Macaca mulatta: one gene and its partner. The protein of the gene in region 1 interacts with the protein of each later gene in a pairwise test. Links are inferred from orthologs where the notes say so. Each region holds a gene or a part of one and is shown in the gene's direction. Other genes may lie near its edges. The genes, in order: FSD2 and CORO1A.

Evidence for each region.
Region 2: the proteins of FSD2 (region 1) and CORO1A interact in binary tests that used the Homo sapiens proteins (3 or more experiments, as listed by UniProt). The two-hybrid records come from large-scale screens. The link is inferred for Macaca mulatta from reciprocal best matches to the Homo sapiens genes FSD2 and CORO1A.

The regions. Positions count from the first base shown.
Region 1 is NC_133412.1:73,986,601-73,990,405, forward strand, and holds part of FSD2 (fibronectin type III and SPRY domain-containing protein 2), read left to right. Parts: intron 1-218; coding exon 219-369; intron 370-3,195; coding exon 3,196-3,329; intron 3,330-3,805.
Region 2 is NC_133425.1:28,379,570-28,383,994, reverse strand, and holds the start of CORO1A (coronin-1A), read left to right. Parts: upstream 1-1,614; 5' UTR 1,615-1,872; intron 1,873-2,225; exon of another isoform or gene 2,226-2,609; intron 2,610-2,986; exon of another isoform or gene 2,987-3,981; intron 3,982-4,046; 5' UTR 4,047-4,047; coding exon 4,048-4,245; intron 4,246-4,425. UniProt on the Homo sapiens protein: May be a crucial component of the cytoskeleton of highly motile cells, functioning both in the invagination of large pieces of plasma membrane, as well as in forming protrusions of the plasma membrane involved in cell locomotion.

The DNA.
Region 1 (3,805 bases):
TATAAAAAACTGCCACTCTCCGTCACACTGACATTTAAACCTTGCAACCATCTTCTACTCCAGAAACATCTGGAAGGGATTCCCTGGTTTGCTTTTGATTGCACTGAATCTCTTTTGTGGGAGGAAGAAGGTGGCTGTGATGTTTGTCCGTGGCTCTGAACAAAATGACTGGAAATGAACCCAACAGTTGTTCATCTCTCCCTTTCTCCCACATTTAGCGCCTTCTCCCCCCATTATAAAAACAAAAGAGATAAGGAGCTGTGAAGAGGCTGTGCTGATTTGCTGGGAGTCTGGGAACCTGAATCCTGTGGACTCGTACACTGTGGAGCTGACCCAGGCTGAAAGTCCAGAGGCCTCAGGTGTAACTGAGTGAGTCATAAGGGCATTTGCTGGGCACGCGAGCCCTGACACCTGATACAGTGACATGGCTTAGGAAGTATATGGAGTCTGAAGAGAAGGTTGGCATTTTTGATACACAGGAATCTCAATTTTTGGTTGCTTAGTGTTCATGAGAAGTAGCTGGAATGCTATTATTGAAGGTGAATGATGAGTGAATGAATAAGTTGGCTGAACCTCAGGTTTTGTTGTTGTTTTACCTGAAGTAAGGTTTCCCATTCATTCATTCATTCAACAAGCATTGAGTGCCTGGGTGGTGTCAGGTCCTGTGCAAGGCACTGGGAACTAGATGGATAAACTTCCTGCCCTAATGGGGCTGACAGTCTGGTGGGGAAATAGACAAAAGGCAAGAAAACAAACCAATGTGCAAAATATGCAGTGCTAGGAAGGAAAAAGAAATGTAATAAAACAGAGAATGGTGGTGGAGGTGAGGATCCACTTTGGATAAAGAAGATGTTTAAACTGAGACCTGAACAGATGGGAAAGACTGAGCCCCAAGAACAGTGAATGCAGGGGTGCTCCAGTGGGAGGGGGCTGCATGGACACACACCCTGGGGGCAGGAGTAAGCAGCTGGAGGAACTGAAAGACCCACTTAGCTGGAATTCAGAGAGGAGAGGGTGAAACTCATAGGCGAAAACAAAAGAGATCACAGCTCAATGTACAAAGAATGTTTCATCTATCATAGAAGACTGTCTGGAAGCTCATGCTCACCCCTCATTCTCTGAGAGCTGGAGGGGTTCACAAATTGATAAGGGTTGGACTCAGTGACCACAAGGGCTCACAGAACCTGAGTTTACAGCAGCCTATGATGGAGGAAGCATAGGTTTACCTCTGGTTTACAGAAGCTTGTGAAAGGGGATGAACCAGCCAGGCAGGCCAGCACCAGCCACCAGGACCAGGGGCTCCCCTGCTGTGGAGCACAGGGTTGCACCGACCTGGAGCTGGAGAAATGAAGAGGGATTGGTGTCAACTGTTACGGAAGCAGATTCTTCTATGCTAAATGCCAGGTTTGAAACATGGCCATATGCCACCCATCCATCTGTTCCAGGTGGAATCTGCATGTCCATGGCCACATGGAGGCTGACCTTGGTAATCCACTCTGGGGATACTCAGGAGTGGGGCAGGGTGTCCAGTGGTTCTGGCCATCCTAAGGGTTCAGGTTTCCTTTGCAATTTATGCTGATACTTTAGGCGCACTTGACACCTGGGACCAACTCACAATGATGAGGTCACCAGAGGGCTGGTCAGTAACCTGAGAGATGACCTGAGAGCTGTTGCATATTCTTCCAGTACAAATCCAATCATGGCAGCCCATGGCGGAAAAAAGGCAAAACTCGTTCATAGGCTCTGGCCCCTTCCTGCCTCTCCAACTCCTCTCACATCAGCTCCCCTCCCTCTAAAGCTCCCGCCACATTGGTCACGTTTCAGTTCCTCCTACTTTTCACACTCCTTCCTGCCACAGGGCCTTGGCACATGCTTCTCCTGTGAAGGAGACTCCTCTGTCCCTTTTTCATACAGTTACCTCTTCAGCATTCTTCAGAGCTCTGCTCAAAAGCCATCCTCCCCCCACCATTATATGCTATAGCACACTGTCAACTTGTCATGGTTACCATCTTACATTCCTTCCAGTGATTGCTTGAAGAATGCTGCTCTTCCCATCTAGACTGGAAGCTCTATGAGGGCAGGAACTACATTTGGTTTTTCTGAGGGCCTCCCTATACAGTGCCTGGAACCTGAGGAGTTTAGTTAATATTTATTGAATGCATAAAAGTGCCCCTCTGGCCCAGAGCTGCAGCCTGAAGATAACCTAGACAACCTGGCCTCATCTGGGTGAGGATGTTGTATTGGTAAATGGGCCTCATCCTAAAGACTTTTCTTGCCCACTGGACTGACATGGGGTTGGCAACCGCAGCAATATAGGCAGTGGCAATTATGGGCTTATATTTCTGTATAGTACAATTTAAATATCTTGAATTATTTCCAATAGGCAGCTGTTCTCAGTGGGTTAATAGCAGTTAACCCTTTCAGCTCTAGTTAGAAAGTTAGAATTATTTGTTCATAAACATGAATCAAGGACCTTCTTCTTTTTTTTTTTTTTTTGAGACAGAGTCTTACTCTGTCGCCCAGGCTGGAGTGCAGTAGCCTGATGATCTCTGCTCACTGCAACCTCCAACTCCCAGGTTCATGTAATTCTCCTGCCTCAGCCTCCTGAGTAGCTGGGATTACAGGCATCTGCCACCACATTTGGCTACTTTTTGTAGTTTTAGTAGGGACAGGGTTTCACCATGTTGGCCAGGCTGGTCTCGAACTCCTGACCTCAAGTGACCCACCGGCCTCAGCCTCCCAAAGTGCTGGAATTATAGATGTGAGCCATCGCACCTGGCTGAAGTGAGGGCCTTCTATGGGCCCAGCACTGTACTAAGAATAGCGGTACTCAGAGACATTATGATCCTAACAGACAGACAGAGACATACTGGATTCCACTGCATGCACACTCCATGATGCAGTGTTAGCCATATGCCAAGCGCGGTGCTGGGTGCCTGGGAAACCAGAATGAGGGACTTGGAGAGGAGACAGCCACAAACACAAGAAGTAGCAATGAAGTGACAAGAGCAGACCAGAGACTGTGGGAGGGAATGCCAAGGGGCAGCCAGCACTCCTGGCTGTGCTGCTGTAAGTGTGGATCAGAGGACAGGGGCGCAAGAGTGAGTTAAACCTTCCAGCTTTGAAAGGGATGCCTGGTGCTTGGGCCCAGGTGTCCTGGCCCCATTCTGACTGCAGCTCTGCTTCCTTGTACAGGTCTGTTGTAGGCATCCCGACCTGCGAGTCCCTGGTGCAGCTGCAGCCGGGGCGGAACTACATTATCTGTGTGCGAGCCCTCAACATGGGGGGCCCCAGCGTGAGGAGCGAGCCAGCTACAGTCCACACCATAGGTCTGTGCCCCAGCCCACATAGTCTCTGGGACCCAAAGTGGCCACTCTGTGGCAGACCCAGTGATGCTATGACTGCACTGGGAAATTGATGAATATGCACAGATATGGACATGTGGCAAGTCAGCCCAGAAGGAGTTCAGGGGTGTCCCCCACTGCCCTAATTGCAAGTCAAATGGATCATTAAGAAGTCCCTCAGGCCGGGCACGGGGGTTCACGCCTGTAATCCCAGCACTTTGGGAGGCCGAGGCGGGCGGATCACAAGGTCAGGAGATCAAGAGTATCCTGGCTAACATGGTGCAACCCCATCTCCACTAAAACATACAGAAAATTAGCCGGGCGTGGTGGCGGGCGCCTGTCGTCCCAGCTACTTGGGAGGCTGAGGCAGGAGAATGGCGTGAACCCGGGAGGCGGAGCTTGCAGTGAGCCGAGATGGCGCCACTGCACTCCAGCCTGGGTGACAGAGAGAGACTCCGTCT
Region 2 (4,425 bases), on another chromosome or scaffold:
GCTCACCACCTTCAGGGACCTGGTTTCCAAGTCCTTCACCAATGCACTTGTTCTGTGTGTGGACATGAGGCCCTCCTGAGCTGAAGTCAGCGTGTGCTTCAGTTTCTGCATCTGTAAAATTCAGATAGTATTTGCTACCCAGGGGTGCTATGAGGATTACATGAACATAGTATAGTCTCTAGAACAGTGCACAGCACACAGTAGGCACTCAATAAATGCCAGTTATTATTCCTGTCACTTCTGTTGGAGACTGCACATCAGAGTACCCACCTCACCTTGGTCTAGTCCCATCCAGTTGCAGGCCTTTGAGTACAGTACAACCCTAAGGTTTTTACAATTGCATAATCTATAGAACATTTACAGATTTATTGTCTCGTTTGAGTTTAGTAACTTTTTTGTTGTTGTTGAGATGGAGTCTTACTCTGTTGCCCAGGCTGGAGTGCAGTGGTGCAATCTTAGCTCACTGCAACCTCTGCCTCCTGGGTTAAGGCGATTCTTCTGCTTCAGCCTCCTGAGTAGCTGGAACTACAGGCGCCCACCACCACGCCCAGCTAATTTTTTTTTTTTTTGAAATGGAGTCTCGCTCTGTCGCCCAGGCTGGAGTGCAGTGCTGCGATCTCGGCTCACTGCAAGCTCCGCCTTCCGGGTTCACGCCATTTTCCAGCCTCAGCCTCCAGAGTAGCTGGGGTTACAGGCTCCCGCCACCACACTCAGCTCATTTTTTGTATTTTTAGTAGAGACAGGGTTTCACCATGTTAGCCAGGATGGTCTCGATCTCCTGACCTCGTGATCTGCGCACCTTGGCCTCCCAAAATGCCGGGATTATAGGCGTGAGCCACCGTGCCTGGCCAGAGCCTCATAACTTTGTGAGGTGGGCAGGACAAATCTTATTAATTCCCCATTTACCAATGAGAAAACGAGGTTCAGAGAGATCAGCCCTCTTGCCCAAGATCGCACAGCCAGTCAGTGGCAGAGGTGGGACTTGAACCCGTCCCTTGCTGTTCCTTGAACCTCTCCACATGACAGGGCTGTCCCTCAGCCTACAGGTCACCCCTCTAGCCTTGCCTGTTGGCTCTTCCTCATCCTTTTGGGCCCAGCCCAGATACTTTGTAAACAAGAATGACAAGAGCTAACTTTTTTTTTTTTTTTTTTTTTTTTTTAATGAGACAGAGTCTTGCTCTTTCACCCAGGGAAGACTGGGTGATGCAGTGGCTCAGTCTTGGCTCACTGCAGCCTCTGCCTCCTGGGTTCAAGCTATTCTCATGCCTTAGCTTCCTGAGTAGCTGGGATTACAGGTATGCATCACTACACCACGCTAATTTTTGTATTTTTAGTGGAGATGTGGTTTTACCATGTTGGCCAGGCTGGTCTCAAACTCCTGACCTCAGGTGATCCGCCAGCCTTGGCCTCCCAAAGTGCTAGGATTACAGGCGTGAGTCACCACGCATGGCCGAGAGCTAACGTTTATTAAGCCCTCGCCACTTTCTAGATGAGGTCCTTACTGACTTTCTTGGGTTATTTTAGGTAATCATACCCATACCTCTTACGTGGCAGGTATGACTGTTACAGAGGGAGAAACCGACGCTGAGAAAGGCTAAGTAGCGGCCACATGTCACTCAGCAGGTGACAGGCTGCGGTCGCACTCATGACATAGTCTGACTCTAGAGCAGGCCTTTCCTGCCCGCTGTTGCTGTCTCCAGAAGCCTCTCTGAATCTAAGGGTGGGAACTACTCCTCCTTGCCCTCGAGCCTTCGCCAAAGCCGGGCTTGGAGCGGCCGTGGGCTCCTCCTCCTTCCCCCAGGCTGGGCTCTTCACGGGCGGGAGCCTGCCTGGCTCGCCTGCCTCGCTCGACCCTGTAGCCCCTGGCACGAAGTAGGTGCCCGTGATGCCGAATTATTTCAGCAGGAGGGCAGGGGTGTTCCCGATGAAGACAGGAGACCAGGGAGGAGAAGCGACTCCCGGGGCCACCCATGTGTAGATCTCGGAGCCAAGCAAGAGCCAGGTCCCTTGGGTCCGGGAGCGCTCTGGGCTTCTCCTCGCCCGTGCCCCCCGCGCCCCCCGCGCTCCCCGCGCTCGCGTCTGCGGGGTCGGGAGGAGGGGGCGGCGTCGCCGGGCTGGGGCGGACACCGAGGCCTGGCGGGCGGGCCTGGAGCGCTTTCGTGCCTGCCAGGGAAAGGCTGGAGAGGAGGCTAGGGGCGGACGCAGGGAGAAAAGAAGCAACGGGGTGTTTTTGCCTTTTGACATTTTAAAAAGAAGTGCAGATTCGCTTCCCGGAGCCGGGCTGGCAGCCTGCGCTATGGTTAGGAACCAACGTGGGGCGCGGGCTGGGGCAGGGGAGGGAGGCGGCCGCAGCAGGGGCCCGGGAGCGCAGGGCGGGCCTGGAAGAGCTCCGCCCCAAGGGGCGCGGCCACCCTGGAGGCGGGCACACGGCTGCTTCTCATTCATTGTCTTGACAAGAGCATCCTCAGCGGGCGAGTCCCCGGCTCCTCCAGCTCCTTCCTCCTCTTCCTCCTCCTCCTCCACCTCCGGCTTTTGGGGGGTCACTGTCCTCTCTCTGCAGCAGGTGAGGCTGGGCCCAGGAGGCGCGGGTGGACCGGGGCGAGGGCCACCTGTGGGGCGGCGCGCGTGTGGGAGCCGCGGGTTGCGGGGGCGCGCGGCTGTCACCGCGACCCAGCCAGCGCCGGGGCCAGGGAGCGGGCGCAGCAGCCCGTGGGGGGACGCTGCCTGGAGTGGGGGCCGCCGGGGCCCCAGAGCGCTCTGCGGAGGCGAGGGCGAGGGACCACCGCGGCCAAGATGGAGGTGGGCGGCCGGGGGTTAGCACAGCGTCGAGGGCCCGACTCCCCCCGGAATTAAGTCTCGGGGAGGGTGGGGACGGGGACAGGGTGGGGTGAGTGGGGCAGCTGCCCTGGGCTTGGAGACAGGAAGGGGTTGAGAGCAAAACAAGAAAAGACCAAGTTCCCCTTTCCGTGGTTTCCGGGCCTGGTACCTGCGGCGGGGGAGGAGGCAGGGTGGGGCGATGGCTTCCTGTCCCCCACCTCTGGTCCGGGGCTCCTCTCTCTCCAGACCCTGGCTGCTCCTCAAGACGGGGGCTCTTCACGTACGCTCCTCACCGCTCTTTGGGCAGGCCGACCTAGCAGCCTCTTTGGGAGTCCTGGGGTGGCCAGGGGTGTTGGCGCCCCCAGTGAGTAGGCGAGGCTGAGGCTAGGGGCAGAGGCTCTGGGCACGGTACCCTCTCAGCGGTAGCACAGGCCCCTTCCCTGAGCAGGAGGGTGATGCGGTGGCACAAGGTCGTCCCTGGAGTTCCTTGCTCCCCACCAGACACTGGGGGAAACCATCCTAGCTGGACATCAGAGCAGTTGGAGTGGCTTCTCCCTTCCTGTGTGCAGTTCACATGGGGGTGGAGATGGCTCTTAAGGGCACCTGCTTTTCTGAGCGAAGGCAAGAGGCAGAGGTATGGGGAGGAGAAGATACTGGGACCTGAGCCAGAGACCTGCTGGGGAAGCCATCCTGCCACCTCACTCCCCTCGGGCAGCCCCCACGCCACTTCCTCCTGTGTCCAGCCCCGCACCGGCAGGGGAAGGAGGCCAGCCCCTGTCCCTGCCTTTAGGAAGCGCTGTGTGGGTGTGAGGGAGGTGGGCTCTGGACACTGTAACTAAGAGAGAACCCACCCTCAGAGCCATCTGGGCTGATGACGCCTGAGTCTGAACCATTAGGAAGGACGGGCTCTGTATCCATCAGCCAGTCAGTCAACAAACATGCAGTGGGGGCAACACCACGCCAGGCTCTGTTGCAGAGGCTGAGGGTACAGATTGAGTGTGTGACTCAGAGTGGCCTGGGGCCAGGGAGAAGGGGGCTTGCAGGTTAGATGGAAGGAGAGGCCGGGGAAGGCGAGCGGGCATAAGCCACAGAGGAAAGGATAGGGAGCCCCTGGAGATGATGCTGGGACCTCAAAAGCCAGACTGAGGGGTGTCCTGGGGGAGGTGGGGACCACTGGAAGATCAGAGTTGACCCTAAGGGAGAAATGCTCTTATCCTGTGTGCCCCTAGAATGAGCCGGCAGGTGGTCCGCTCCAGCAAGTTCCGCCACGTGTTTGGACAGCCAGCCAAGGCCGACCAGTGCTATGAAGATGTGCGCGTCTCACAGACCACCTGGGACAGTGGCTTCTGTGCTGTCAACCCTAAGTTTGTGGCCCTGATCTGTGAGGCCAGTGGGGGAGGGGCCTTCCTGGTGCTGCCCCTGGGCAAGGTGAGCCCCTGGGGCCCTGGGGGTAGCAGCTCCTCCACCCGACCCATGGCTCTGTGGAGGTCCTGATTAGGTGACTGTCACCAGGCCTTCCAGGGCCTGTGTTGCCATCTGGAAAACTGAGCTGGGCCCCATGAGCCTTACACTTCCTCTAGCTCCTCTGTGCTGTGGCTGTGTGGAAAC